2 linked regions of the Lonchura striata genome follow. The protein of the gene in region 1 purifies or fractionates together with the protein of each later gene. This does not show direct contact. Links are inferred from orthologs where the notes say so. Each region holds a gene or a part of one and is shown in the gene's direction. Other genes may lie near its edges. The genes, in order: NAF1 and NOP10.

Region 1 (16,102 bases):
ATTAAAGGATATACAATAATTCCTGAAATAAACTTAAATTCAATCTGAATGTAAAGGATGATGTGTCTTTTAGCACACTTTTTTTTTTTTGTGAGGATCATCCACTAATTATCATCATATAAATGCAACAGAGAATGCAAATGCATTCCTTTCTTCAGTAAAAATGTTTATAGTGTTTTTAGTGCCATACTGTCATTGAAATTAGCCTTTTGACTAGAAAAAGTAAACCATTTCTTAAAAGGATTAATTTATTTTTATTGTTGGATAAAATTCCTGAAGGTCTCTCAGGAAAATTCTGCACATAAAAAAAGAGTAAATAAGCATGCAGCCACATGAATTACGTCTGTCTCTTGGGCAAGGTCAAGACAATTGTGCACATATTAATAAGCTGACTGAGAAGTCTCTAAGTGTGTACAACAACTCAGAGCATCCCTTCTGCATGTCACTTAGTGAACCCAAGCAGATCACGACAAGAGATCCTGTGCACTAGCCATTGCTTCAGGATTCCTGTATGTTAGGATGTTTCAGGAGAAACAGGAACTGCTGCCCTGAGAGAACACAAAACCATCTCTGCTTAGACAAAAGATGCATTTAGGTGAATATCCTGTCTTCAGCAAAAGATGACAGTACTCATCTGAAATAAAAGTGTAATTAACAAAGCTGGCATAGGTGCTTCTAGTCTGCAGCAGTCTGTGGGCCAGGAATTTTCTACAGGCAGGAATGTAATCTTTATAATTATTAAAAACTTGTGAGTATCCAAAACATTCTGTGGGGAGAAGTTCTATAGCTCACTCTTCTATATTGTGTGAAGGACCATCTTTTTTTTTCATCTTGACCTGCCATATGAAGGTTTTAATGTTTTAATGTTTTAAGCCTCTTGTTCATCACCAAGAATTGTTTCTTATTCATATTCCTCCTAAATCTCTGTGGCAGTACATGTGGATTGTTTTTGCAGACTGAAGAAGGCTGTCTGTTTAGTACAGAATCTTCCCTACATTTCTTCCAGTTCTGCTCTATCCGATCTGACATAAGGAATTGCATACGATATGCAAGATACAGAAGCATAGTCAATTTATTTTGTAGCATAATATTTTTTATGTTATGTTCTCAGTTTATTTTTTTCTTTTTCTTTCTTCTTCTGTCATTGTCTTTCTCTTTTTCCTTTTTTTTTTTTTTTGGATTCTTACAGAACACTCAGCTACTGCTTTCATAGACCTATTTATTATAATTGTAAGGTGTTTTTCAAGATTTATTTATTTTCAGGGATCTATTTTAGTATCTGTAAAGCTAGGACTCTTTTGTCTCATATGTTTGATTTTATAAATTTTCTTTCTGAAATTTTCCTACCTTCTATCACCCAAGCACTCAATCTTACAGTGTTCATCTGCAATTATTCACAGTCACCCATGTGTCACCTACTGTTATTTGTGTATAGGTTAGCACATTTTGCCACCTTATTGCTTTCCAGATCTCTTGTGACAATAGATAAAACAAAGTTTTCATATAAAGTTTGTCCATGTCCATATATATCCATCCTCATCTGAGTCAAGATGTATTACAGGCAGATTAAGCACGTCAGCTCTTCTATATATTCAAAATTCATTTAAAAAAATTAATCTGCAAATAGAACAGAGATCTGAATTCAGAAACTCACATAGAGTTTCTGGACTCATGGTTCAGGATGAAAATAATAATAACAATAACAATATGGATTACTTTTCACCAGCTTAAATAAGTGGGAACTGAATACTGGTACTGCTGATCCCATTTGCACGGTACCCTCTCCTGTTGCCTGGTCAAAACTGAGGTAATTTCTGTACCAAATGGCCACTCAGTGGACAGGGAGAAAGGTTTTGATAATTTCATAAGGTCTGTTTTACTTTCTTTCTGAGGCACTGTAGTAGCATTGCTTTTCATCTTATTGTACAGTTCAGCAAACAAAAATAAATATTTTTCCATTTTGCGATGTAGAGAGTGGACATTTTTCTAGTCCTTCTGGACCAACCATGATTCACATGATTGTCTGAGATTGCAGGAGCCTGAACATAATGAGCCACATCTCTTCTACAGTTGTGTTCCTTGGTTCTCAAAGAGCCTATCAACAACACCAAATTACTACAAAAGAGCATGATTAAGTCAAAGGGAAAGGGAAAGGGAAAGGGAAAGGGAAAGGGAAAGGGAAAGGGAAAGGGAAAGGGAAAGGGAAAGGGAAAGGGAAAGGGAAAGGAAAGGAAAGGAAAGGAAAGGAAAGGAAAGGAAAGGAAAGGAAAGGAAAGGAAAGGAAAGGAAAGGAAAGGAAAGGAAAGGAAAGGAAAGGAAAGGAAAGGAAAGGAAAGGAAAGGAAAGGAAAGGAAAGAGAAAAGGAACATGGCATGATAAGAGAACTCCTGGGACAGATGGAGGGGCAGCATGAAGCACAACTTCCCTGAATGCGAAACCAGAATGTAGGATGAAAAGCAGAGGCAAAGAATTTAGGAAAGCCCTGTGCAATATATATTCATTTTAGTTTCTTTCCACTTTCTTCAGATAATTTTGACACTTTGGGTACAACTTATGTATGTGATGTGAAGCGATCTTGCTTTTTCTGGTGACTACTTTCAGAATAATCACTGAGTAAGTGATCTCAACTGAGTTTGTGCCTTATTGGTGATGTTATGAGAGATTCCATCTACAAGATTTTCAGTTTTGTCTGAAGATATTGAGCTCATAGGCACTATAATTTCTCTCAAGAATAAGATAATGTTTCACCAGACAGGTTTTCTAAACTTACTTTTTTCTACAGACACAGTTTTACTTTCGAGCTTTGGAACTGACTTGCAGCTCTCATGAGGGCAAGGTGATGCACACTTACCTATCAGTGAGGAATCAGTAATTAAAATGGAGCATCAAGGTGGTGTGCTTTCAGTAGCCATTTTTGCTAGGCAGACATGCTTGCATTTCCTGAAATATTTTTATTTTTTGTAAGTTTTAGGTGTTGGAAACTTTTTTTTTTGTTGTTTGATTTTTTAAGAGTACAGAGAATTATAATTAAGCCAAAAGCTTAATTGATTCTCGGTGGTTCAGTCTGAAGGCAATGGAAAGATATGAAGGCCAAATGAGCATGCATAAAATTCTTAAGGACATAATGATTTCCCAAAAGCCATTCAATGAGTCTAGATATGTAACTGTCTCACCTGCTGGTCTCCTGTATATTCTTCTTACCCTATGCTAGACTGCTTTCTTCAAACTCCAAAGAAGTGCCTGCTTATGGTATTCCATGCAGACCAGTTTTTGTTTCAAAGGGACTTTTTAGAATTTTTCATACTCCTTCTGTTATCCTGTTTCTTTACATTTTGGAAAAAAAAAAACCCAACATAAACCAACTAATTCTTCCTTATGAGTACAAGGAGATACAACTTTCAGTTTTACTCGTGTCTGCAAGGACAGAAAGGCTGGCACAATGAAGCACTCAGAAAATAAGAACTGGAGAAAAGGTAAAACCACCTCTTTTATTGACAGTGCCAGTTTATGATAGATTAAAGTTATCCAAATACAATGTAAGAAATGCAGTCTGAGATGTAAAGTGTTCAGAAATCTACAGTAAAACATCTGAATAAAGTGACAATTATGACATAAGTGGATTAAAATTTACAATCTTTAATTTGTTCACTGATTTCATGCTTAATGTCTGTCATATATTGGCACTTTAATAAGTGCCTGTCTACCCAAAACATTGCAAGCATGGAAAGAATGTTAGGCTGTGCAGACAAGATGAGATGGATTGGTTGAGAGCATATATCTGGACAGAAAGAGAGGCCTTCCCGGCTCCAAACAGTCGGTAAAGGCCTCTGAGAGCTACAAAAACTTCACTTTTGTGGAAGACACATCTGAACCATGATAATCAGATAAAAACCCCAGTTCACTAAAACTACTATTTCTTACATAGAGGTCATTACAGGGAAGCCACACTCAAATTTACTTGAGTTACTCTGCCCAAATGTGAGTCCCTACAAATTCCAATACACTGACTATGCTGACAGTTGAAATTTCAGAGCTGTTTATACATACAAGAATAAATCACATTTATAGATGCAGCCTGGATCCAGTTGGTTTTGTAACAAATTAAATTATGGTTATATTAGTATAATTCAAAATTATGAGTGAAATAAAGTAGAAAAAGAATGCAGTAGACTCCAATTATAAATAGATGTCATTGACAAACAAACTGTACAAACTCTTAGAATAATTGGAGGTGAACTTGTCCATTGGTCTGTGAAAGGATTTGGAATGCTACTGTTGAAATTGGTTGTGGGCAGCTCAGTCATGGAAAGATTACTGGCTATATTTGGAAAAATAAACAACAATAAGAATATGGTAAATAACATTGTACATTTTTTCCATATTTAAAAATGTATTTTGGGGAAAAAAAAATCCTTCGAAGTTCAATTTTTTTATCTAGTTATAAGCTGCCCAACTCTTTATATGAAAAAAGAACTAAGAAATTTGTGCAATTTAACTCTGTACATTAATTTTAAGCTTTGAAATGAGTAAAACATTCTGTACCGTAGCTATTTTAATCTCATTTCTGTACTAGATATCTCAGCTGTGCAAGCTACAATATTGATTCATCTGGGTGGAATGAAATATGACTAGCAATAGGGACACAGAAAATTCTGTTGATCTGATTTCTTTTCCCTCCCACTGTTCCTGACCATGAATACCTTAGCTTCTAATAGTTCAGGCAGAGTGAAAAAAAAGGCTCTGGGATCAGAGCAGTAGCTTCAAAACTGTTGGAAATTTAAGCTCATGATTTCCCTATTGTTGTGGGACAACTCCCTTTCCTCTTCCATGCCACTCTAGAAGCTTGCAGAATCACAAAACAACCTGAGTTGGAAGAAACCCACAAGGATCATCAAATTCAACTCCTGGCCCTGCACAGGACACCCCAAGAGTCACATATTTGCTCGAGACCATTGTCTAAATGCTTCTTAAACTCTGCCAACTGGTGCTGTGACCACTTCCCTGGGAGCCTGCTCCAGTGCCCAACCACCCTTGGGGAGAGGAAACTCTCCCTAATATCCAACCTAAACCTCTCCTGACACAGCTTCATGTCATTCCTTTGGATCCTGTCACTGGTCACCACAGAGAAGAGATCAGTGCCTGCCCCTCTGCCTTCTGCTTGTGAGGAAGCTGTAGACCATTATGAGGTCTCCTCTCAGTCTCCTTCAGGCAGAACAGACCAAGTGACCTCAGCTGCTCCTCACACAGCTTCACCTCCAGACTCTCCACCATCTTCACTGCCCTCCTTTGGATGCTCTCCAGTTTATACCCTTCTTATATTGTGGTGCCCAAAACTGCCCCCAGCACTCAAGGTGAGGCTGTTCCAGTGCAGAACAGAGTGGGACAATCCCCTCCTTTCCTGGCTGGTGATGCTGTGCCTGATGTCCCCTAGGACAGGGCTGGCCCTCCTGGCTGCCAGGGCACAATCACTCATGTTCAGCTTGACATTGACCCAGACCACCAGATCCCTTTCCATAGTGCTGCTCTCCAGCCTGTTGTTCCCCAGTTTGCACATAAATATAGGATTTTCCTATCCCAGGTGGAGAATCCAAAACTTGTGTTCCTTAATCTTCATACAGTTGGTGATTACCCAGCCCTCTAATTTGTCTGCATCTCTGCAGGACCTCTCTGACTTTGAGGGAGTCAATGGTTGCTCCCACAGGCAAACTTAAGAGCCCTTAGAGTCCTGTGCCCAAGTTGTCTATGCAGACACTGAAGGCCACTGACCCTACAATGGAAGCCTGAAGAACCCCTTCTGTGACAGGCTGCCAGTCTGATGTCACCCCGTTCACGATGAACCTTTGCAGCCAATTCGCGAGGCAGCTGCTCACCCTTTGTATGACGTTTATCCAAGTGTGTGCTGGACATTTTATCCAGAGGGATCCTATGAGAGACAGCATTGGAAGCTTTATTGATATCAAAAAAATATATCAAGCAGGCTTACCAGCTGCTTATACTACTTACAGTACAGTGATATAGTGATATAGTGATATAGTGATATCACTGTGTATAGTCATTCACATATGGAAGCATAAAATATATAAATTATAAAGATCACAGTGAATAGTGTTTTAAAATATATAAAGAAACATTACTTCCTTTCTTATTCGTACCTTTTCTTCCCAAGACATAATAAGCAGGACACTGAAATCTCCAACCTGTTTTCTATATTCCAGTCCAGGACAGATATGACGATGAAACTATTTCTTCCAACAGACTCCTTTATTGCATCCAAAGCATTGCAATAAAACATTGTAATAATAGTTTGAGTTCCATCACTTTAGCTTTAAAAGTGCAATGGGAACAATTATGCACACCCATCTTAGCAGCAAGAATGAAGAAATAAATGTAGGAAACAACACCTCCAGAGAGCTTCATCAAAGATTGGAGGCAGAAAACAGAGCTTACAGTACCTTTTATCCCAGCCTTGACAGATGATGTCAGATTCCAGTCCTAGCAGTGACATTTCTTAACTGCTCAGACCTTGAAAACATGCGTTGGAACTACTGTGATTCAAGTGTTCATCTCTGAAATGTTTCTTTTCCTAGAACATCTCTTTGCTCATGCTGTTACGTTGCAGATTATTTACTGCATGCCTTTGCTGAGTGGATGACGATGTTTACTCTGCATTAAACCTCTCAATATCTTCATTCTAAGAGCAATGCTATTTTATATGTTAAGGGGGATAAGTGGCAGCATTCAGATGAAATAAAGTATCTTTCTTGTCTGAAAGATGCTGCCAGTTCTGCACAAACACAGAGGAAACTGTCATAACACAATCTATGTGCCAGAGTAAAGCTATAAATCACTTACTAAAATACTTTAAAAAGCAGGAAAGACATGATTCATAAGACAGATGAAGAATTTTACTTACATAAATGCAACATAAAGACCTGAATATATTTTCACATTTCCAAGCAATGTGTGATAATAAATAAATAAAATTAATTTTAATTCAATTAATTCCTTCATACATTATGGCATTAATTATTTTACCTTTTTTAGGAAAGGCTTTGGCTGATGAAAGGGCTTTGTCTGCTTTGGTGAAATTATTTCCTTCCCAGTCACACTGATCAACTTTTTCACACAAACACACAAATCTTGTATTATAGTCTATTTCAGATACATCTGACAAAACAAATGAATAAATTAAAAAAGAAATCCCAGTCTAATAATAAACTGTCTTTGCTTAGTTTTAAAATGAAACCTGGTTTTGCAGAATTTGATTTTAGTGGGATTCTGCATCTATTCATTGTTTAATTGGATACATATTTCATTTCTGTCACTTTCTTAGGGATTAAAATATATTTGCCAGTGAGATTCAATAGAAACCATTTTTATAATTGTTCAATATTTAATCTCCAAGCAATTGACAATTAATTGTTGTTGACATTTAATTGCATGATTTTCTAAAGCTCTCTTTTGTTAAAGAGCTTGCAGTACAGGTCAGTAATATTCAGAACATGCTTCCCACGTACACTCATCTCAAGATCCCAGTGCTGTCACTGAAGGTGGAGATGATTCCTACCCTAGGTGTTCTGAGTAATTGTGCAGTGAGAGTTTACTGCTGCTGTATAAACGTACAGCTCATACAGGCTCCTTGCCTATGACCGTGCAAAACTATCAAATGCTCATAACATACCTGTTCTGCTTGACCTATACATAATTGTAGACAACTGAAAAAAAGTACTGTTGAATTAAATTATATACAAACTTGGACATGCATGACTTTCCTACTAAATAAAAATCTGCTGGTTGCTTCTGTTATGTCATAATGGAGAGTGGAACAACCAGAGAACAAATCTTCTGTCATCAGATGCTCCCTTCAGCCTGTGTTGGTTATTAGTGAAGCACTCTTGTGACAGTGGGCTCAATGTAGCCTTGCCATTCTGGACAAGAATAAAATGTTTTGGGCGCCATTTGAGCTGTGGGGCACACAGCCCTGGAGGAGAAGGTCATTACATGGAAAACGTATCATTCTCTGCTCTCATCAGATATTCAAGTCCCAGTCTCCTCTGGCACTTCCAGCATTATCACATGCAACTTTTTCAAGTATTTATCTGTTTTTATCTACTTATTCTCCTGGGGCCTATGCTGTACTCTGTTGCCTGGTAATGAAGCCCATTTGGAATCCGGTCCAAGGGACAGTGTGGTGTGGTCAGGGACACACAGCGCTGGCCCAGGAGCGCAGTTGTCAAAGTACACTTTAGAGGCTGGGTTAAAGGGACTTGTCACCCTAACAGTGATCTCCTGATGCTGTGTGCCTTTAGAACATCTTTTGGCATTTCCCAAGGATGAATTGCACTATAGAGAAAACGTAGTGCTTTTTCTGCTGTGTTCCCTTGTGAGGAAAAGCTTTATCTGTGTGACACCAACCACACAGAGCAGTCAGGAGGGACCTGAGTCGGTTCCCTCCTATGGGAACCGTGTGCCACATCCTGGGATGCCAAGAGTCCTTCCCATCCCCACGGAGCTGCATGAGACAGACACCTCGGAAAACCTAAAGCTCCAAAGCCGTAAGTATTTATGGTGAACCAGAACACAGATTTATTTTGGAGAGCTTGGCATTATTGTACAGTCACCATCAGTATGGAGTCACTACGTCAATGTACTACAAACTACTATTAGTACAGTAATTTGGTATTCTACAGCTTTTTTGTCGTTGTTGTTTTTGGGCTTTTTTTTAGTTTTAACTACATGATTCTGTGTGTTGTCAGCACAGAACCCCTCCCAGCAGGTTCACAGTAAGAGCAGCTCTAGCTCTGTGTCTCACTCAGCCGCCACAGACACCAAGGCCGGCCGCGGAGCTCCCCCTGCCCGGAGCCGCCCCGGGACTGGCCCGGGCCCGCCTCGCTTCGGCGCACGCGCACGGGGGCGGCTCGCGGCGGCCGGAAGTGGCGCGCGCCGGGGGCGGTGACGCGGGGCGCGTGGCGCGGGAATGGAGGGGCGGCTGGAGAACCCGGCCGTGGAGCCGGGCGGGCAGCCCGAGACGGTGGAGCGGGAAGTGGTGGAGCAGCTGGAGAACCCGGCCGTGGAGCTGGGCTGCCAGCAGGAAGTGCTAGAGCAGCTGGAGAACCCGGGTGTGGGGCCGGGAGGGCAGCGAGAGATGGTGGAGCAGCTGGAGAACCTGGCCATGGAGCCGGGCGGGCAGCGGGAAGTGGCGGAGCAGGTAGAGAACCCGGCTATGGGGCCGGGTCGGGAGCGGGAGATGATGGAGCAGCTGGAGAATCCGGCTGTGGGGCCGGGCCGGCAGCGGGAAGTGGTGGAGCAGCTGGAGAGCCTGGCTTTGGAGCCAGGCAAGCAGCGAGAAGTGGAGCAGCGGGAGAACCCGGCCGTGGAGCCGGGCGGGCAGCTGGAGGAGGTGGAGCAGCGGGAGAACCCGGCCGTGGAGCCGGGCGGGCAGCTGGAGGAGGTGGAGCAGCGGGAGAACCCGGCCGTGCAGCCGGGCGGACAGCTGGAGGAGGTGGAGCAGCGGGAGAACCCGGCCGTGGAGCCGGGCGGACAGCTGGAGGAGGTGGAGCAGCTGGAGAACCCGGCCGTGGAGCCGGGCGGACAGCGGCAGGCCGACCGGGAGCTGGTGCAGAGCCCTGCGGAGGGCGCCGGGGAAGTCCAAGGCGCTGTGCCCCCGGCCGCGGGCCCGCGGCGCTCGCCGCCCGCCTGGCCCCGCGGTCCCGCGGCCGCCGTGCCCTCGTCGGACTCGGACAGGTGGGTCCAGCCCCGCCTCGCCCCGTGCTCCCCGAGGCCTCGGGCGGCGGCGCGGGCCGCTGGGGCTGTGGCTGAGCGCCAGAGAGCCCGGTGTGTCTCCCCCGTCTCGCTGTTTCACCCTCTGGAGCTTGCTCCTTCCCATCAAAGGTGTAATTTCCAGTTACATTTGTCTGGGAGCCTGTTAAATTAGGTCTCCAGATCAGTGCCTGTAAGGGTGTAGGGTGTAACGATGGCATGAGTTTGGTGGCTGCCGCCTGGAGAGCGTGGGGCGCCCGCCCCATTGGCTTGAGGTAGTCCTCAACAGAACGCACCTGCGGCTTTTGGGGCAGGACACCCGCAGTAGGACTGCTGAAAAACCTGAATGCAGGACTAAAGGTGGCGAGTCTGCACACCATACCATGTTGGCATCTCAGTGGAAAAGCTCATTCACGTTTATTTTTTATTTAATATGGTTCCATATTGTACTTGAGGCATCTCTACTTCGATGTTCAGTATAGTTGGTGAAAGGTTAAATGTGGGCTCTGTTGCAGTGTTAGAAGTCTGCACACTTCGGTTGTTGCAGTAAGTCTTGTGTTTTCTTATTTGGCTGGTACAGCAGGATGGCCATGTACTTCTTTTGACTAGAGAAGGCTAAAATAAAGTCTAAGAATCTTCTTTTAAAGATACCAAGCTTCATTAAGAGTTAATTGATTAAAGTTTGACTTCAGAAGTACTTTTGTTGGTTCAAAGTTTCCTTGAATATCATAAAGTGATAGTGAAATTCCTGACTTCAGGGGCTTCACCCATGTGTAGTGTTTTTTACTTTCAAAATCTCTTGTGCTGATAAACATTAAAGATGAAATTTTAATAACTACAACTTATCTGTTTTGCATATATCTCAGTCTTTGTTTTGTTTTTAACTTTCTTCACTGGTCGGTATCCTAGTCTGATTTTTTTGTCTTTCTGTTGTATTGATACTGTTCCAAGAAGTCCATATTTGACCTTTTCAAAAGGTTTATTTGGAGAGGTGCTCTTATTTCTTGTCATTACTATGAGCATTTGTTGTAATAAAGAAAGGAGCAATAGAAGGCCACCCACTTACTTGGGAATGAGACTGGTATTACAAGAATCTCGAAAGAAGTGTTTTTTTTTGGTTTTTTGGGTTTTTTTTTTTTCCTTCAGGTAAGAAAGGTTATTTTGCATAAGTTTGCTTATCTCATTGTATTTTCATGTGTTAAGTTCGTATTTCTTCAGTTACTAGGATCAATTGTTCCACATTTTTTTCTTCCACCAGCCCTTGAAGAACTTGGACCTTTGCTAAAACAAGCATGTTGACATGAATAAGGACTGGTTTCTTACTCTACTTGAAATATTGAGAGTCTAAGACAATAAATATCTCTTCACATGTGACAGTGAGAAATACTGAATTACTTTGTGAATATTTACCAGGAGATTTGGACAGGACATGAATTATGAAATGAATCCATTTTATTTACAAAAAATAGAATTTTCTCCCCTTGACTGCAAGATGCATTACTTGGAATAAGTATTTTCTTAACTTTCATTCAGCATTATGCTAATGTTGGGATTTTACAAGAACAGTGACTGTGAGAAGGCAGTATTGTAACTCCCATATTTTTTTTTTAATATAGTGATACAGATTCAGATAGTTCATCAGCTACACTCTTCTCTTCATCTTCATCAGCAGTATCTGATGAAGATGATCATCCAAATGAAAAGAATAACAGATCTTACTGTCTTAGGACAAAGGATGAGTTGCCTATTGATGTAAGTACAATGCAGTATTTTTTAAACCCTTTTCTACTAACCCAGCTAAAAATTTATATATTAAGTTAGTCCTCCTGTGTCAAGATGGGGATAGAATCAGAATAGTAAAAGAGAAACTCCAAGGCTGAACTAGACACAGTTTAGTGGGTAAAGCAAAAGCCACCCACACAAGCAAAGAGAACCCAGAAATTAATTTACCACTTTCCATGGACAGGCAGGTGTTCTGCCATCCCCAGGAAAGCTGGGCTTCATCATGTGTAACTGTTGCTTGGGCACACAAACAGCATCACTGGAAATGTCCCTCATTCTCCTTTTTCACCCAGCTTTGTATGCTGAGCATGATGTTACATGGTATAGAATGTTCCTTTGGTCTGTGCAGGTCACCTCTCCTGGCTGTGCCCCTCCCAAGTCCTTTTGCAGCTCCTCACTGGTGGGGTGGCATGGGAGGCAGAAAAAGCCCTGGCTGTGTGGAAGCCCTGCTCAGCAATAATGAAAACATCTCTATATTGTCAGCAATGTTTCCAGCACAGATCCAGAACACAACCCTGTAACAGCCACTGTGAAGAAAATTGGCTTTTCTGCAGTAAAACCCACCACAGTTAATAATATAAAAAATCGTGTTTTACAGGTATATGTATTAAGGAGTGTTAGTGGAACCATTTCAGAAATCTCTTGCTTTGAAACAAGGATTGGCAGATACTGTATATAATGTGGCAGAAGGTATTTTGAGATACAGGATCACAGTTTTATCTTCCTGCTTGTCTTTGGTGTTTCAGTTCTGTTATAAAAGTGACTCAGTTAAGTCTTAGCAGTGAACTAAGTAAATTTTGATCCTTATATGGGAAAACCCCTATTTGAATATTGTGTAGCACTCATTATTATATCTGAAGTTTGGTTTTTTGTGTTCTCTCTGATGTCTAGTACCAAATGCAGCTTTCAGCTAAAAATAATTCTTTGTATAAGTTGTTGTGATGTTTACATCTTTTATAGTGATCCAAGCCATGATGTAAATGGACAGACTCCATTTTGTAAATCAGATGATACACATCTGGTGCATTTTATGCTATATTGCTGTGTACATTTTTTATGCTATATTGCTATATTGCTGTGTACATTTTTCTTCTAGCATACATTGAGTGTTGTTGCAGGTGGTCTTATTTTTTGATTTCTGATTATTGTGTTGTACATGGCTTGTGAATGAAATGCCTGTCAATTGTTGGCTTTCTCCTGCTAAATAAAACTGGCTTCTGCCATAGTTGTGATGGAAATATATAGAGTAGTGTCTCTGTAGGAGAGATTTTCTCAAAAGTGGTGGTCCCCTAAGATGAGTTCATTTAGGATGATTCTGAAAGAGGCAAATCAAACTAGTTTTTTTAACAATAAATCTTAAAAATGCCAGGGGATTTTTCCAAACTGTCAAATTTCTGCAGTGACAAAGTGGTAAGTGCCTTTGTGTGATATTATATTGTAAACATTGACTTGATGTTTGCAGAAACTGCCTCCTGTTGAAGACTTATCAATAATTCTTCCAGATAATGTTGAACTGAAACTCTTTGGGACAGTTTCCAGCGTGATTGAGCAGCTAGGTAGGCAAGATATGTTTGCTGTGTTCTTAATTATTATAATTTCTGTATATCTCTGCATGAATTGTGTTCTTAGCTGGTCCTTCAAAGTGTCAGTCCTGCAGCATCCCATTTCTGGGGGTAGCAGGTTGCTGAATTGGAATTCTAACTAGCATTTGTGTTCAATTACCTTTTGTTTGGCTTATATGCATGTGTTTCTGTGTGACTTCCATGTTTAATTTTTTAATTCAAACACCTTTATTTCTGTTGTGTATTATGGCTTTTATATTGATACTGGCCACAGTTATTGTATTTAAGTGTTTTAAGAAAGTCTTCCAGTTGTAGTTGCTATTTTTGAATAATCCCTGAATATATAGGAGCTGTATAACTGAAAGCGCAGATACAATACAATGCAGTCCCAAGTGCTTGCTTGTTAATATATGAGGACAGGTAAAAGACTTGTTTATTCAACAGTGGAAGTTCATTTATTTATTTTTTTATATATTTATTCATTCCACTTCTGGTACCTTGAGCTGCCCGTTGTCAGCAGTCAGATGATGGTGTGACTAACATGATTTATAGGTGGAGGGTGAGCTTTAGATATTGAATGGATGTAAACTTAACCACAGGCATAGAGATTTAGGGATCTTTTTGGATCTGTGTGGGACCTCAGTATTTGATAAATGAAATCAAAATTTTGCTGAAGCTCATATTACTAAAATATTCACAGTATGTTTGTATTAAAGCTATTTCAAGTGTTTCATTCTGCTTGAACTGCATTTCAAGCAATTTGCTTATGCAAATTAGAAATTAAGTTCAATTTTGAAGTTACAGTATTTATGCTGAATGTAGTACAAAAGAAAGTAAGTAACTTTTGCTATTAATTTTTCTTTTAAAAAACTTAAGATAATACAGGCAAGTCCTCTATTTTATTGTGGTGAGGTTTAATTTCATTCATTTACAGGAAGCTAAAAGGAGGGTGTGGAAGGTAGTGATCTAGTTCTTTTCTACTTTGTCCTTTCTTGCGTATTGATAATAATGGGGACTTCAAGAATGTTGCTTTCAGCTAAAATGGTAGTTTGAAACCAAGTTTTAAAAACAAGTTGAATTATACTTGCTATTATTCTTACTTTTGGTTTAAAATGTGAAGGTATAAACAAAACTATTTTAAAGACTGCAGTTTTGAAAACCATCCTTAATTCTAATCCTTACTGGTGAGTATAATCTTTTCAAATACCAGTTTACTGGTAGGCGAATTCTTCACCTACCAGGCTGCATCCTACTTCATGTAATGTACATCTATAAAGTGTTGCATTAAATTTTTTGGTGAAAATTAGAAAACAAGCTCATAATCATAGTGAAATAAAACCATATAAATGGGATAAACTCCCAGGATATTTGGGATTATTTTCTTGCTTTTATTACCTTGCTTTATAACTTTTCTTTCTCCACATTTTAGTTTGTTTTCAGTTCTTCTGAAAACAGCCCTCAATTTCACTTGATTTGTGGTTATATTAGGGATGCCAGCTGATTGGGGATTTTTTTTTTATTTTTGAACTAAATTGATACCTCTGTATACCAAGTTTGTATCTAGTCTGAGGCGAGTTGATTCCTCATTTGGAAGCCACCAATATTATTCTGACATAAGTGAGTATTCTTTTTCTGTCCCTTTGATGTCCCTCAGAATTTCTTGCTGTTCTCTGTAGCAAACGTCCAAGTTCATCAGTTTGCAGTGAGTGATACTTCTAAGTGGATATTTCATCCTGTGAGGTAAATTTGAGGTTAAAACAGTGTAGGCTCATGCTTGCTGTGCGGTAGCTAAAAGCAAAATGACAGTATTTTCTATGAACTTCTGCTCAATGTATCAGAATTTAACAAAACTTGTGCTGTATCTTGCGTCAAGGTACTTAAAGAGAAGAGAAAAATTCACTGTGTGGGTTGGGACCTGGAGAGTAAACAGCTTTGGATATGAGAAACTTTCCCTGTGCTTTGGGCCCTGCAGGAGTAGAAGCTGATAATTCAGGATGGTTTGGGGTAGGGGAAGCTGTAAGTCAGGCTGGAGGTGGTAGTGTTTCTCCTAAGTTTCATTGGACTGGTGCGTTGTATCTTTTCCTCAGCCTGCTGCATGCTGGGAGCTGCATGTGGTGAATCAAGTTGAGAACATTATCTGAGGTTTTGGTGTTGTTTTTGTGTAGGGTTTTTTTGTGTTGATGTTTGGGGGATTTTGTCTGCTTTTTTTTTGCTAAGGTATTTTTCTCATGAGGTTTGAACAACACATAAGGTTACATACACTGTATATTTTATCTTAAAGGTAGGCACAAGAGAAATTGATTTCACAAATTCTCTTGAAATTCAGTGAACTGTTAAGCCTGTGGAATTGTCATTTCCTTGTTTGGCACGTTAAGTTTTTTGCTGATTGCGTTAGTAGCAGTAGCTTTTAGGTTGGTGACATGTTGATTGCTGAAAGTCCTTTTATGTAAGTTTAGCAGTGATGATCTTGAGCTTTTATTTGAGCCTGAGTGATGCTGTATACTTGAGTGACTTTATTTGCTGATGGACAGTCATTGAGAAAGCTTAATTGAGCATTGTGTTGTTTTTCAGGTAGAGAAGTTCAATCATCATTAGGCCCAAATGTACTACGAGACTTCTATGGCATTAAATTGCAGAATGTCTAACAGATGGGGTATATGCATATATAAACACCATCAGTTGCTACTGTGACTGAACTGCCAGACAGTTTTGTGTTCTGGTATGATTCTTAGGACTCTTTCTCTCTTTACCCCAGAGAACAATAATTCTGTAACCAATATTAGCATTACCACTCATGTATAATTGAGAGGGGGTGTGTGATTCTAAGTACTTTTACACATGTGCAAGAATATTTGGTTGCAGCTCTACAAACTTAAGTAGACAAGTAGTGGTGTGGTTTGTTAAGTTTTACCACAATAAACTACATGCTGTTAAAACATAAAGTTCTAATTAATTTTTTTATTTCCATTTTAGTAATAATTGAATCACTGAGAGGCCTA
Region 2 (14,581 bases), on another chromosome or scaffold:
ACCAAGGAGTGGACTTTCATTTCTTGAGAGCTTTTAATCCTTAAGAGACCTCGGGTATTATCATCCCTTCATAGAAAACCATTTGCAAACCAAAGAATGGTCCTTGGTTTTGCCCTTTTTTGTGTAGTGTTATGTTCTGTAAAGTGACCCTCAATGGATGAGGTTAAGGCAAATGAGTTGTTACTTTGAGATGGGAAGCAAAATTCCAAATCTTCACCTCTTCAGGCCATCCCAAATAATTTGGGAAGTTTTCAGTGTTTTGGAACTACTTGAGTTGAACAATGGGATGTCAAGCTTTCCTGAATTGAGGATTCTTCCTTGCCAGATTTTCCTGTGCCTTTGCCGCTAAGGTGTTTTTATGCTGAAGGCAGTAACTTCAATGAGAAAATAATTTCAGCATGGAGTAAGAGCTTCTGACAGAGAGCAAGCGCTGCCGGCAGTTGCTCCAGGTGCTCCTGCCAACAGACCCTGCAGGCAGGAGCACAGCCCCCAGTGCACCTGGGCTTTGGCTCCCTCTGGCACAGAAGCCCCCGGGGGCACAGGTCTCTGGGGCAGGACACAGCACCAGCGCTGCCAATGCTCGGGGGGTGGCAAGTCTGCTTGGGCAGGGACTCTGCCTCACCTGCTGGTGTCAGCGCTCCCTGGGCCCCAGGGCTCAGAGCAACATTCCTACCCTGGCCGACAGTTCCTTGTGTGTGCCACACCCGTAGGTTTAGGATGGCCAAGGGCTGGGACGTGTCCCAAGGAGGCCGTGCCAGATTCCATGGAAGGCCCTGTGACCTTCCCAGCATGGCTGCGTCGGCAGCCCTGGGGGCTCCTTCTGCTGCCCTGAGCCCACAGAGCAGGGCAGCGTTTGCTGATGGTCTGAGTCATTCCTGAAGACCCTGTTGGGCTGTCTCAGACACTTGGGGTGAGGGATTCCTTCCAACCTGAGCCACTTTGGGTGGGCCAGGGGCGGCCATAGTGCAGGGGGCAGTGTGTGCAGGGGCCCTTTGTGACACGCTGCAGCATGGTCACTATGGCATGGAACAGTGTGTCAAAGGGACCTTTGTGACACGTGGTGACATAGGAGCTGACGGTGACAGGACCATGCCACAGTGCTCCAAGCACGCGACGGGACAGGACGGGACAGAGCAGTGCTGTGAGGAGCCCCCGCACAGGGCACTCGTTCGTGTCTGACCCAGAGATTTCTGAGGCATTATTCCTGCAGCTGTCGAGGCCAGACCACAGGACTTGCTGACCCGTGGCCTTCCTAGGCTTCAATTCTGCAGGTGCCCTCAAGGGCAGAGCGTGGGACTTGGTGCCCTGGAGGCATCTCCCATCCCTGTCACCAGTGCCCTCGAGGCGAGAGCACAATCCTTGACAGGAGTCTCCTGTCCTTGTGGCAGGAGCCCTCGAGACCAGTGTGCAGGACTTGCTGTCTTGAGCCTTCCTGAGGCTTCTGTCTTGAAGGTGCCGTGCAGGCACAAAAGCAGGACTTGCTGACTCGGAGTTTTCCGAGGTATCTCTCCTGCAAGTAGCCACAGATCCAGTCACTGACATGGAGCAGAGACCCCCAAGACTGCCCAAGCTGGCCTGGGTGGAGAAAGAGGAAGAAGGCCCTGGAGCTGCCCCAGTGCACGAGACTGAAGAGATGGTGCCATTCAAGCAGCTGCAGGAGGGTGAGTGGCAGAGCTGGGTTGCTGGGCTGCATGGCTGGTGGCTGCAGCCAGCTTGGCCACAACCCATCCCATCCCATCCCATCCCATCGCACATGCCCATGGATACGACAGAAGCTGGGCTGGGGCTGAACCACATGGCAGCTCCATCCCTGGGGCATTGCGAGGTTCTCCCTGCCGGGCGAGAACAGGGCTGGGCTGTGTTCTCCAGCCTCTCCTGCAGCCTTTCAGCAGCTCTGGCCGCGCTCGCTCTTTACCAGATGCAGCCCTGGACCGGACACAAGAACAGGAACCCGCCCATGGCCGCTTCCGCAGAACAGCGCAGGTACCTGTGGCCATCCCCATCTGGGCTGGGCCTGCTGGCACTGCTCAGCCCAGCACAGAGTGGTTGGAGCACTCCATGCATTCTCTCTCTCTTCCTGCTCTTCTCCTGCAGACCATCTGTCAATTCATCACGTGCATTAGGCAGGAAGAGACCATTGGTGTGCGCACCGGGATCTTGGCAAGCTTTCACCTCTTCAGTGCTGAGACCAGTGCTGCCATGCTGAATTTGCTGGTGGAGAAGGGTGTCTCCAATGCAAAGCAAGTAAGCAGTCTGGGGCAAGGGCTTGATTGCCCCAGGAATGGTGTGGCACATCTTGCTGGGTCTGCTGGGCTTCCTCAGCCTGTGAGGTCCAGCCCAATGTGGTGGAAAGGGAAGCACTCCTCAGGGGAAGCTGGGCAAGTTGCTGCCCTGGCAGCTCTCCAAGTCTCCCTGTGCCTTCTGTAGGTGCCAGCCATGGTGAGGTACATCCACCAGTGGCTCACGGCCAACAAATCTGCTGAGCACAGGCTGGACAAGGCCCTTCTGGAGCTGACCAAGGAATACCCCTGTGACGTGCTGATCACTCTCTTGCGCTGGGCCCCATCGTGTGACAGGCATGGCATCCCCACCTGCCTTGAGGCCTTAGGCTTCACCGGCCCCCCCACCCCGTAGAGCCTGTCCCTGACAGACAGGTGGAGAGTTCCAGGAGCCTCTGGCCCCTCTGTTTTCCAGTCCTGGCATGTCAACTCCGGAGCCTGCTGCCATGCTCCCTCCCTGCCCCTCAGGGCCTGGGCCCACGTGGGCTGGCTGGCTGCTGCCAGCCAGGGCCAGGAGTCAGAGGCAGGGCTGAGGGCCAGTGCAGGCCCCTGCAGCTGCCCAGGCCACGCTGCTGTGGCTGAGACCCCCCTGACACAGAGCTCTGGCCCCACAGGGCTGCCGTGATCATGTGGGGGACCATCATGTCCTCGAGCAGGACCGCGGAGCCGGCGCTACAGATCCTTCTCGATGTGCTGAGCGCCTGGCCAGAGGACAGCGTGTACACCTCCGATGGGGACAGCACAGGGGTCTTTGCCCTGGCTGTGAGTTTCTGGAAGCGGCCTTTGCCAGCCCCCAGGCCACCTCTCCAGCAGCTTGCTCTCTGCCCTGCCCCCAGCTGCATCTCCCTGCCTCAGGCGCTGGGCTGAAACCTGGCTTGGGGGAAAGGTTCTGGGGCACCAGGCTGGCTGCTCCCCATGTGTCTCCCTTGGCCTCTCCCTCACAGGCTGAGGCCATGCCACATGCATGTCTTGGCACTGATTGCTGTCTCTGGCTGTTTTATTTCTTGCAGGCAACCTTGACACTGTGGAGGCTCTTCAATCTGACCTGGTGTCCACCTGTAGTGCTGGAGTATTTCCCCAACCTCTTTCTGCGTCTGCTCTTCCAAGCTTACATCAGCACGCTGAATATGCCAGAAGAGGTGGATACCTTCTGGAAGAGATGCCAGGAGCAACACGGCCTTGCCGCCCACCCCAACAGGTGCTCCATGCCAGTCTTCCCAGTCTCCCCATCCCTGCCATGCTCCCAAGGCAGGAGCCGGGCCTCCCAGCGTGACCTGGGCTTTGCTCTGCACACAGCTTTGCACTGCAGACCCTGAAGGCCCTGCTCTGCCAAATGCAGTACGAGGACGTGGTGCTAGCAATGGAACGCAGGTGTGCCTGGGACACACTGCTCTGTGCCAACACCCACCACTATGCAGTGGGTCTGCTGGCCAGGTGAGACCTCATTCTCCCCACCGCCCCTCTCCTTTGTGCCCAGATCACCCCACGCAGTCCCTGTGCTCATGGGCGGCAGGGCCTTGCCCTCAAGGGAGGGATGAGCAGACTGGAATGGGCTGGGAAAGGAGGGTGCCCTGGAGCAGCTGCCTCCCAAAGCACCCGTGCTGGGGAGTGCTCGGGAGAAGACCAGACTTCTGTGAGTCAGCCCTGGGAGAGGTTTGGCCACTCAGCTCAGGAGCAATGGTGCCTGTTTCTCCCCACCAGGGAGATGCGCCGTGTCTCCATCATCTGGTGTTGCAGCATGGCATCCTGCCTCTTTGACTTACTCAGCCAAGACAATTCAGACTGGGAACTGCCTGCCCTGGCCTTCCTGGTGGAGGTGAGCCCAATGGCCAGCGCTGCCTCGCTCAGCTGCCTCCCACACCTCTGCCCTCTGGTAGCCGCAGCTGCCAGGGATGGTGCCCTGTGCTGCTGCCTTGGCTCAGCCCTGTGCGGTTCTGAGCTCCTGCCAGCTGGGCACTCCTGTCACTGCTCCGTGCCTTTCAGGTCCTGGACTGCCTGGACTTGAGTGAATACGGTGAAAACGTCCTGCAGATCATGACAAGGCACCTGCAGAGCAAGTCCAGAGAGATGCGTCGCGTGGCGCTCAGAGGCCTCGTGGTGCTCAGCCAGGACCCCTCGATGGTGAGAAGGAGGCAGCAGCTGAAGCTGTGCTGGCAGCGTGGGGCTGGGGAAAGCAGCCCCCTGGGCTTGGCTGGCCTTTGGGAGCTGTGGCAGCTGCTTCCAGCTCTCCAGGGTGGCTGTTCAGCGGCCTGAGTACTCTGGGACAGGCCTTCGGTCTCTGAGCCCTGCAGCAGCAGCAGCAGCGTGAGGTTCCCCAGCCTTGTTTTCCACACAGAACGGAAGAATGTACAGCCTGACTGAAAGCCTTGGCAAACTCCTGCTGGCCGTGGATGAAGACATTGTTGAGATGACCGTCGTTGTTCTCAGCTCTCTGCTTTGCAACAAAGACCTTGCAATAGCCAGCCCCATTGCCCTGCAGCTGGCTGAGGCGCTCTGGCAACTCTTTGACAATGTAAGGCTCTGTGCCCCCAGCCACGGGCACCAGGCGCCAACTGGAAGCCTGGTGCCTTGTGCCTGTGCACAGGGGGTCCTGAAGCAGCTGTTGTGGAGGGGTTTTGCTTCCATTCCAACAGGACAACACCCTTGTGAAGCTGCTCTCCGTTCGCCTCTTCCAAGAGGTGATGAACTTGGTGGTGGCCAAGGGAAAAAAGCCCCTGAAGAAGCCTGTGAGCCAGAGCCTGCTCCCACTCTTCTTCAACTGCCACGATGAGAACTGGCGTGTGGCACAGGTGAGGGCTCCTGGGCGCCGGGGTCCCCATGGCAGGGGGCTCAGCTGTCTCCCCACAGCCTGGCTCCTCCTCATGGGCTCCAGCTCCCTCCTGGCCTTGGAACGGGGACGTGGCTCCTGTGCCCTGGGCTGCGGTGCCATCTCTGGCTCTCTGCCGCTCTGCAGGCCTCTCGGGAAACGCTGCTTTCTGCAGTAAGGTTCCTGAAGAGAAGGGATCTTCAGCAGCTGCTGAAGACGGATCAGATGTGGAGCTTTGCCGAGCGCTTGGTAAGCACAGCCCGGAAGCCCCAGCCCCGGCCTGGAGAAGCCGCCTGCCCACGGTGCCCAGTCTGTGCCCTGGCAGCTGCGGCCCCTGCCCAGTGCTGCCCGCAGGGGCACCGGCCGGCGCCCCACACGCCGCTGCCTTCCCTGGGCCGCGCGGGCTCTGCTCCAGGCTCCTCTGGCCCCAAGGCCGGTGCTGAGGGAGCCCCGAGGCAGCCGGGCTCTGCCGCGGGGCGGCACCGCGGCTCGCCGGGCCCTCTGCTCCCTGCAGAGCCCGGCGCCGGCGGCTGCTGGCCGGGCCTCGGCGCTGTGTGGGCAGGGGGAGCGGCGCCGGGCGGAGGGAGCGCCAGGCCGAGGGGCAGGGCCCGCACCAACCCTTCCCTTCGTGCCCCGCCGCTCTCTGCAGCTGGCAGAGGACAGGAGCCGAGCGGCCGAGCACCTGCGCCGGGCCCTGCCCTACGTGCAGAGCCCACAGGAGCCCCTGCGAGAGGCGGCCGTCAGGTTCATGGGTGAGCCACGAGCCCGGCTCCTTCCCCGCCCCGCCGCAGCTCGGCCCCAGCCCCGCCTGCTGCCCCGGCAGCAGCATCCGCGCTCGGCCATCTGGAGCCCCGCCTGGCCTCGGCGCTGCCGCCGCCCTCTGGCAGCCGTGCCCTGGGGCAGCAGGATGCGCCAGGGGCCCGGGCTGAGCCCTGCCGGGCCAGGAGCCCGTGTGGCCTCGGGCCGGGCAGCGCCCGCGGGCGGCAGCTGTGGCTCTGAAGCCAGCTCACGCTCTCTGTTCCCAAGGGATGGCCGGGCGCTGCCTCAGAGGACAGCAGCAAGAGTTCCGCATCCTCTGCAGGGGTGAGTGAGGCCAGCGGGCTCTCAGCGGGGGCTGCCGCTGGCAGCTGCCTTCCCTGGCCCGGCACGCACCAAGGGCAGCGTGGGCACAGCACACAGACCTTTTGGGGGGCCTGTGGCACATTCGTGGCCAGCACCTTCCAGCTCGCCCTTCTTGTCTCCTGCTTCCTCCAGGCCATGGCAAGAGCTGCCTGGCATGGACGTGGCAGGAGGGTCTCCCCATGTTTCTGCAGACGCAGGCTCTGACGGTGGCTCTGTTCCTCTCTCTCGTAGCCCTTCAGGACATGGCGGATGACGTCAGCCCTGCCATCTCATGCCTGGCCCTTCAAACCCTGTACATCAATTTAGCTGTACAGGCCATTCCCTCCTCCCGACTCCAGAATGTGCAGGATCAACTCCGCCGGCTCTGGAAGTCACGGCCTTTCCCGTGCCGCCGTGGCTGGCTGTCCTGCTGCAGCGCTGTGGAGAACTGATCCGCCAGGCTGCGTCTGCTGGGGCCACCTGAGCCTGCGAGGAACAACTGCCCTCTGCAAGCCCTTCCTTTCACCCCAGAGTAGCATTAATAAATTGTTGTTGTCATACCCGGAGGTCCAGGAGCTTTCTCTTGGTGCCCAGATTTTTCAGGCCAATGGGGAGGAGGGGAAAAAGGGCGCTTGCACTCGGCAAGTTGCCCAAGCCTGTGGTGGGCAAGGGAAAGTGGCCAAAAGCCTTTTGGCCTTTGGTGATCCTTTGGTTGAATGTTTTTCTTCCTGCATCAAGTCTTCGGGAGCTATGGGAACAAGTGTGTTCTGTGTCCATGGAACAGCAGAAAACGCCAAGATGTGTCTTCTTCCAGCACTTCTCTTGGCTCTTCCTTCACACTGCTGGCACCGTCATCAGAGACATGGAACAGCTTCTCTCATGCCAGCGTTATCCCAATCTTCTGCACTTCCCCAGGTTCCTCCCAGCTTCAGCAGGGAAATTCTCTGCTCGTGCCTGTCCATTCCCTTGCCCAGAAGGCAGCACCCACTTGTCTTTGGACATGAGCTGCTGGCCACAACCTGACAGGCAGCAACTGGAGCATTGCGCATCAGATGCTGGGCTGATGTTCTTTCCCAGAAAGCAAGAAAAAACAGAAGGACACAAGGAAACTTGACACTATATCTGTAAGAATGTCATTGTCCTCTGGAAGTCAACAGTGGATGGTGTTTTTGTGTCGCAGATTATCACTTCCAAGCAAAAATCATTCTAGGAAGGAGCAACAGCTTTTGACAGATACCAAGTGCGGCTACCAAGTGCTGCTCCAGGTGCTCCTGCCTGCAGCCACCTGCAGAAATGATCACAATTAGAGAACACCATGCTAAATTAACGAGGACAATTAGGGAACAGCATGTTAATTTCAGGAGCACAATTAGAGATCACCATGTCAAATTTCACGAGGACAGTTAAGAAACACCATGTTAATTCAAGGAGGACAATTAGAGAGCATCGTGTTAAAATTAATGAGGCCAATTAGAGAACACTGTGTTAATTTCAGGAGCACAATTAGAGAACACCATGCTAAATTCACGAGGACAATTAGAGAATATCATGTCAAAATTAACAAGGACAATTAAGGAGCTCTGTGTTAAAAATAACAAGGATAATTAGAGAACACCATGTTAATTTAAGGAGGTAAATGAGAGAACACCATGTTATTTTAATGAAGATAATTAGAGAATACCATGTTAATTTAATGAGTTCAATTAGAGAATACCATGTTAATGTAGGAGGACAATTAGAGAACACCATGTTAAAATTAACAAGGATAATTAGAGATCACCATGTTAATTTCAGGAGCACATACTAAAATATCATCAGAGGCTGTGAAACAGCAGGGCGGAGACACAAGAATAAATAAAATAAAAAAGTAAAACCAAAAAAACCAAAACAAAATAAAATAAAATAATATAAAGTAAAATAAAATAAATTAAAATAAATTAAAATAAAATAAAATAAAATAAAATAAAATAATAAATCCTAACCCTCAGGATGTCTTTGAGCCGGAGAGTGAAGGAGTCAGGCAAAGGAGCTCCCAAAACCTCAGAAATTTTAAAGAATGTTTGAAAACTGAAAATCGCAGATTATATGACTGGCTTTTGGCAAATATTAAAATTAATACATGATGTGTTATGTTGGAAAGATATGCAGTATTAATCTCTTAAATTTGGCTGTAATAATATTTTTTAAATTTGGCTGTATTAATCTCTTTTTCATTTTAATAGCGCAGTATTAATCTCTTTTAAGTTTTGCTGTATTAATCTCTTAAATTTGGCTGCATTCATCTCTTAAATTTCTCCTGTATTAATATCTTTTCAGTTTTGCTGTATTAGTATTTTTAAACTTTTTCCTGTATTAATCTCTTTTAAGTTTTTCCTGCACTAATCTCTTTTAAATTTTTCCTGTATTAATCTCTTTTCAGTTTTGCTGTATTAATCTCTTTTAAATTTTTCCTGTATTAACCTCTTTTAAATTTTGCTGCATTAATCTCGTTTAAGTTTTCCCATATTAATCTCTTCTAAATTCTTCCTATATTAATCTCTTTTCAGTTTTTCCTCTATTAATCTCCTTTAAGTTTTGCTGTACTAATATTTTAAATTTGCCTGTATTAATCTCTTTTATTAACCTCTTTTACATTTTTCCTGTATTAATCTCTTCTAAATTTTTCCTGTATTAATCTATTTTAATTTTTTTCCTGTATTCATCTCTTTTCAGCAGTGTGGCACATACACTTTTTAGCCTAGAGGACAATATTAAAAGAACAGCAACAGACACCAAAATCTCAAAAAAAAAAAAAACCCAAAACATTGTTGCCTCCTTCTCTGGAAATCTCAGATTTTCAAAGATTGATTTACGAGTAAAAGTAAAACTCCTAAAATTTCAACACAACGAGTTTTTCACAAATAACAAAATCATGACTATGCACACGCCTCAGCGCTGTCACCCTGCTGGAATTATTCTCCTTTTTTTATCCTATTACTGTTATTCTTATTATTAATAAACTTTAAAAACTCCAAACCGTCAATTCTGTTCCTCACACTTTCAGACCCAAACTTCCTTACTTTGAACCCAAACTCACTTTTCACACCAAAATTTTCCCCCTGCCTCCCTGGGTTGAATTTTTAAGGTCAGACTCCCATTTTTTAAAAATCCAGATTCTCCTTTTTAGGTCCAAACTGCTCCATTTTTCTGCTCAAACCCTGAATTATGGCCCAAATTCTCCATTTTTGGACCCAAACTCCCCCTTCTGGGGTCCAGACTTCCCATCTGGGCACCGAAATTCCCCTTTATGAGGCACAAATTCCCAAGATTTTTTTGTCCAAATTCTCCCTTTTTGAAACCGAATTTCCCTTTTTCGGTCCAAATTTCCCCTTTTTCTTGCCCAAATCCCCTTTTTGGGCCCAAATTCTCTCTTTTTGGACCCAAATCCCCCTTTTTGAGCCCAAACTTTCCCTTCCTGGACACAAATTCCTTCTTTCTGTGCCCAAATTCCTCCTTTTTAGACCCAAACTCCCGTTTTCACCCCAAAATCTCCTTTTTTGGCCCCAAATTTCCCCGCTCGGACCCGCCAGGTTGAGTGGTACTCCCCGCTCGCTTCCGGAACTGCATTTCCCATCACCCCTCTCTCCAATTTCCGGTGTAAACACCGCCTTCTTTCCTTTTCTCTTGAGGCGACTTCCGGCCGGGTGCCGCGCTGGCGCCGCCATGTTCCTGCAGTGCTACGAGAACGAGCGCGGGGAGCGCGTCTACACCCTGCGGGTACTGGGCGCTTTTTGGGGCGCTTTTGGGGGGATTTAGGGGATGGCTCTGAGGGGACCCGCGGTGTTTGGGTGTCCGCGGTGCGGGCTGGGGCCATGCGGGCCAGTTGGACTGTGCTGAGGGGGGGATTTGGGCTCTCCCTGACGCTCTGTCCCCACAGAAGGTGTCCCCGGACGGGGTCCCCACTCGCTCGGCGCACCCCGCCCGCTTCTCCCCCGATGATAAATTCTCCCGGCACCGCCTGGCCCTGAAGCGGCGCTTCGGGGTTTTGCCAACGCAGCGAGGCCGGACCGTGCTCTGAGGCACCGCAGAGATCCGCTGCGGAGCCCCGAGATGGCCCCGAGCTCCTGGGACGGATCTCCGCCATGAGAAAAGGTCAAATCGCCATGCCAGCGGACTGCACGGAAATGGGGGGGAAAGGAACGTTTTAAAGAGGAGGAAAAATGAAGTATTAAAAGTCGAGGGTCTCTGAGTTTTGGTATCCAAATACCTTGGGTTTTTTTTCCTGTTTTGGGGGTATTTTTGTGGTTTTTAGGGTCTGGGGAGGGAATTTAGAGGGGTATTGGGGGAAGCGCTAACGGGGCTCTATGGGGCGCGGGTATAACAGGGCTCTATGGGGCGCGGGGGATGATGGGAGTTGTAGGTGCGGGTATAACTGGGCTCTATGGGGCGCGGGGGATGATGGGAGTTGTAGGTGCGGGTATAATTGGGCTCTATGGGGCGCGGGGGATGACGGGAGATGGAGTCGCTGCTTTAATGGAGCTGAATGAGACCGCGAGGCATCACGGGAAGTGGAGGCATGGCAGTAAATGCGCGCGATGGGCGCCGCGAGGTATGATGGGAGCTGTAGTCCCGGAAGTGGCTGTAGCGGAGCGGTTGGGGGTCCGGGAGGGCACTTGTGGGTCTACAGGGGCACCCTGTGGGGTCGGGAAGCCCCTGGGGGCACCCGGGGAGCTCTGAGGGGTGTCTGTGGGGCGCAGGACGCGACGGGAATTGTCGGGCCTGAACTCGGCTCTGAGGAGGCTCTGTGGCCGCGGGGCATGACGGGAGCTGGAGTCCTAGCTTTAATGGCGCTCCGTGCGTACCGCGATGCATGGTGGGAGCTGTAGTCCCTTTGGTGGCACTCGAAGGCCTCTGTGTGGTTTGCGGCATCTGCGGGTCCGAGGAGCGTTCGGGGGTCCCGAATGGGCTCAGGAGGCACTCGGGGGTCCCGCAGGGTCTGGGGGGCTCCTGTGGGGCGCATGGAGGCGGATAAGGGGCGCCGGGCCTGACGGGACTTGTAGTCCTGGCTCGGTTAGGCCGCTATGGGGCCGCTGTGCACGACGGGACTTGTAGACTCAAAGTCGATAAAATGGTGCCGGCTCCAGGCCCCGCCTCCAGGTGCTGTTCCCGGGCGCTGATTGGTTGCAGACGGTGATGGGCGGGAGGCTCAACCAATGGGAGGCGGCGGAGGCGGGGGACCAGCCCATTCAACCCCTCCAGTCCCTCCCAGTACATCCCAGTTCATCCCAGTACAGCCCCAGTGCCCCTCCAGTTCATCCCAGTACAGCCCCAGTGCCCCTCCAGTCCCTTCCAGTTCATCCCAGTACAGCCCCAGTGCCCCTCCAGTCCCTCCCAGTTCATCCAAGTCCAGCCCAGTCCATCCCAGTACAGCCCCAGTGCCCCTCCAGTTCCTCCCAGTTCATCCCAGTACAGCCCCAGTGCCCCTCCAGTCCCTCCCAGTTCATCCCAGTCCAGCTCCAGTGCCCCTCCAGTCCCTCCCAGTTCATCCCAGTACAGCCCCAGTGCCCCTCCAGTCCCTCCCAGTTCATCCCAGTCCAGCTCCAGTGCCCCTCCAGTCCCTCCCAGTTCATCCCAGTACAGCCCCAGTGCCACTCCAGTCCCTCCCAGTGCATCCCAGTGCCACTCCCAGTTCGTCCCAGTATCCCCCAGTGCCACTCCCAGTTCGTCCCAGTATCCCCCAGTTCATCCCAGTCCTTCCGCGGCCAAACCTCTGCCCCGCCCCCATAGTTGATCACGCCCTTTTCATTGACCACGCCCATTTTCCATTGGCCACGCCCCCTCCAAGTTCTCCCCCTCCATTTCCAGTTCTTGCGGCTGCTCTGGGAAGGTGAGTGGGGCCCCAGTGATTCCCAGTTCATGCCAGTAATTCCCAGTAACCCCCAGTGATTCCCAGTTCATCCCAGTAACTCCCAGTAACCTCCCAGTAACCCTCCAGTCACTCCCAGTCCATCCCAGTAACCCCCCAGTTCATCCCAGTCTCTCCCAGTTTGCCCAGTTCTCTCCCAGTAGTCCCCAGTTGGTCCCAGTCCCCCCCAGCTCCCCCCAGTTTGTCCCAGTTCATCCCAGTTCTGCCCTGCTCAGGAATCCCAGTGACTCACCGGTCCCCAGTTCCCTCCCAGTTCCCTCCCAGTTTGTCCCAGTTTGTCCCAGTTCCCTCCCAGTTTGTCCCAGTTTGTCCCAGTCCCCTCCACCCCCCAGGGATCAAAGGTCACGGAATGGAGAGGGAACAGCTCCAGGCACTGGTGATACTGGGAGGTACTGGTTTGTACTGGGAGGGACTGGGGGGAACTGGGATGGAACTGGGAGGGAACTGGGAGGGACTGGGGGGTTACGGGAGGGACTGGTTTGTACTGGGAGGGACTGGGACACACTGGCACAGAGGGGTCTTTGTAACTGGTTTATACTGGGAGGGAACTGGGGGGTTACTGGGAGGGAACTGGGAGGGACTGGGAGGGTTTCGGGGGTTACTGGGATGGACTGGTCCATACTGGGAAGATTTTGGGAGTTACTGGTCCATACTGGGATGGACTGGTCCATACTGGGAAGATTTTGGGGGTTACTGGTCCATACTGGGATGGGCTGGTCCATACTGGGAGGATTTCGGGGGTTACTGGTCCATAGTGGGATGGGCTGGTCTGTACTGGGAGGATTTCAGGGGTTACTGGTCCATACTGGGATGGGCTGCTCCGTACTGGGAGGATTTTGGGGATAACTGGGGGGAACTGGGCCCAGTCCCAGCCCAAACTGGTTTAACTGTTGTCCCCTCCCCCTCCCAGTTCTGTCCCTGGCCAGAGGCGACACCCCCAGTGAGTGACTGGGATAGATGGGACAAACTGGGACAAACTGGGACGGACTGTGACAGACTGGGACAAACTGGGAGGGACTGGGACAAACTGGGACACACTGGGAGGGACTGGGACAGACTGGGAAGGACTGGGATGGAAAGCCCAAATTGGTTTATACTGGTCCATACTGGTCCGTGCTGGTCTGTACTGGTCCATGCCGGTCTATACTGGTCCATACTGGTTTTTACTGGTCCCTGCTGGTCTCTCTGACCCCTCCCTTTCCCCCCAGATGCCTCCAGTCCCTTCTAGTTAGGTGAGTGCGGGAACTGGGAGGGTCCCCAATGTCCCCAAAGTGTCCCCAAATGTCCCAAAATGTCCCCAAACTGTCCCCAAGGTGTTCCCAAATGTCCCCAAAGTGTCCCCAGCTGTCCCAGTGTCCCTGTCCCTGTCCCAGACTGGTGTCACCTGCGCGTCGGTGGCCTCACGGTGGCTGCGGTGCTGAGCGTGCTGGGGGTCCTTGTCCTGCTCAGTGAGTGCCACCCCTGTCACTGTCACCTGTGTCACCTTCTGTGTTATCTGTGTCACATTGTCACCTGTGTCACCTGTGTGCCACCCTTGTCACCTGTGTCACATTGCCACCTGTCACTTTCTGTGTTACTTCTGTGCCTTTTGTGTCACCTGTGTGTCACCTGTGCCACCCCAGTCACACTGTCACCTGTGTCACCTGTGTCCCCTCAGGTGGGAAATGCAAGTGCCAGAGCAAGGCCAGGTGAGACCGGGGGACATTTGGGGACATCTGGGGGATTTGGGGACATCTGGGGACATTTGGGGGATTCGGGACCATTCGGGGATACCTGGGGACATTTGGGGACATTGGGGACATTTGGGGACATTGGGGACATTTGGGAACATTTGGGGACATTTTGGGGACACTTGAGGACATTGGGGACATTTGGGGACATCGGGGAATGACACTGGGGACACTTTGGGGGATATGGGGACATTTTGGGAACCTTGGGCACACTGAGGGGGATTTGGGGTTGGAGGATTGGGGACATTTGGGGACATCGGGGACACTTTGGGGACATTGGGGGGTCGGGGACATGGGGGACGGGGTGGGTTGGGGACATTTGGGGGATTTGGGGACACTTGGGGACATTTGGGGGATTTGGGGACACTTGGGGACACTCTGGGGACACTGAGGTGTCCCCTCCCCCCCGCAGCCGTCGCCACCCCACCCCAGAGCTGTCACCTCTAGCTGGGACAAGTGAGTGTCCCCTCCCCCCTGGGGACACTTTGGGGACACCGCGGGACAGTGCCACCACCCTGACCACCCCCCTCTCTCCACAGGAGCCTGAGCTGTCCACGGGTGTCCCCAGATGTCCCTGACAGGTGACACCGGACAGGGGGGAAGGGGTGGCGTTGATTTCCCTGAAATGTCCCCAAAATGTCCCCAGGAAAGGCAATGAATAAAAAATGGGTGAAAAAAACGGATTTTGGTCAGCGGGGGAGGGGACATGGCGACGGCGGGACAGCGGTGGCACCGGGAGGGGACACAAGGCCTTGGGGAC

What was found.
Region 2: the proteins of NAF1 (region 1) and NOP10 purify together in Homo sapiens (co-immunoprecipitation; 6 studies listed by BioGRID and IntAct, with this or other methods). This does not show direct contact. The link is inferred for Lonchura striata from reciprocal best matches to the Homo sapiens genes NAF1 and NOP10.

The regions. Positions count from the first base shown.
Region 1 is NC_134606.1:39,334,064-39,350,165, forward strand, and holds the start of NAF1 (H/ACA ribonucleoprotein complex non-core subunit NAF1), read left to right. Parts: upstream 1-8,977; coding exon 8,978-9,744; intron 9,745-11,375; coding exon 11,376-11,511; intron 11,512-13,003; coding exon 13,004-13,097; intron 13,098-16,076; coding exon 16,077-16,102. UniProt on the Homo sapiens protein: RNA-binding protein required for the maturation of box H/ACA snoRNPs complex and ribosome biogenesis.
Region 2 is NC_134639.1:2,428,699-2,443,279, reverse strand, and holds NOP10 (H/ACA ribonucleoprotein complex subunit 3), read left to right. Parts: upstream 1-9,846; 5' UTR 9,847-9,888; coding exon 9,889-9,942; intron 9,943-10,102; coding exon 10,103-10,243; 3' UTR 10,244-10,414; downstream 10,415-14,581. Other genes in the region: uncharacterized protein LOC110481739, read left to right, coding at 11,379-12,052, 12,424-12,480, 13,300-13,323, 13,427-13,539, 13,749-13,779, 14,234-14,277, 14,361-14,368. UniProt on the Homo sapiens protein: Required for ribosome biogenesis and telomere maintenance. Part of the H/ACA small nucleolar ribonucleoprotein (H/ACA snoRNP) complex, which catalyzes pseudouridylation of rRNA.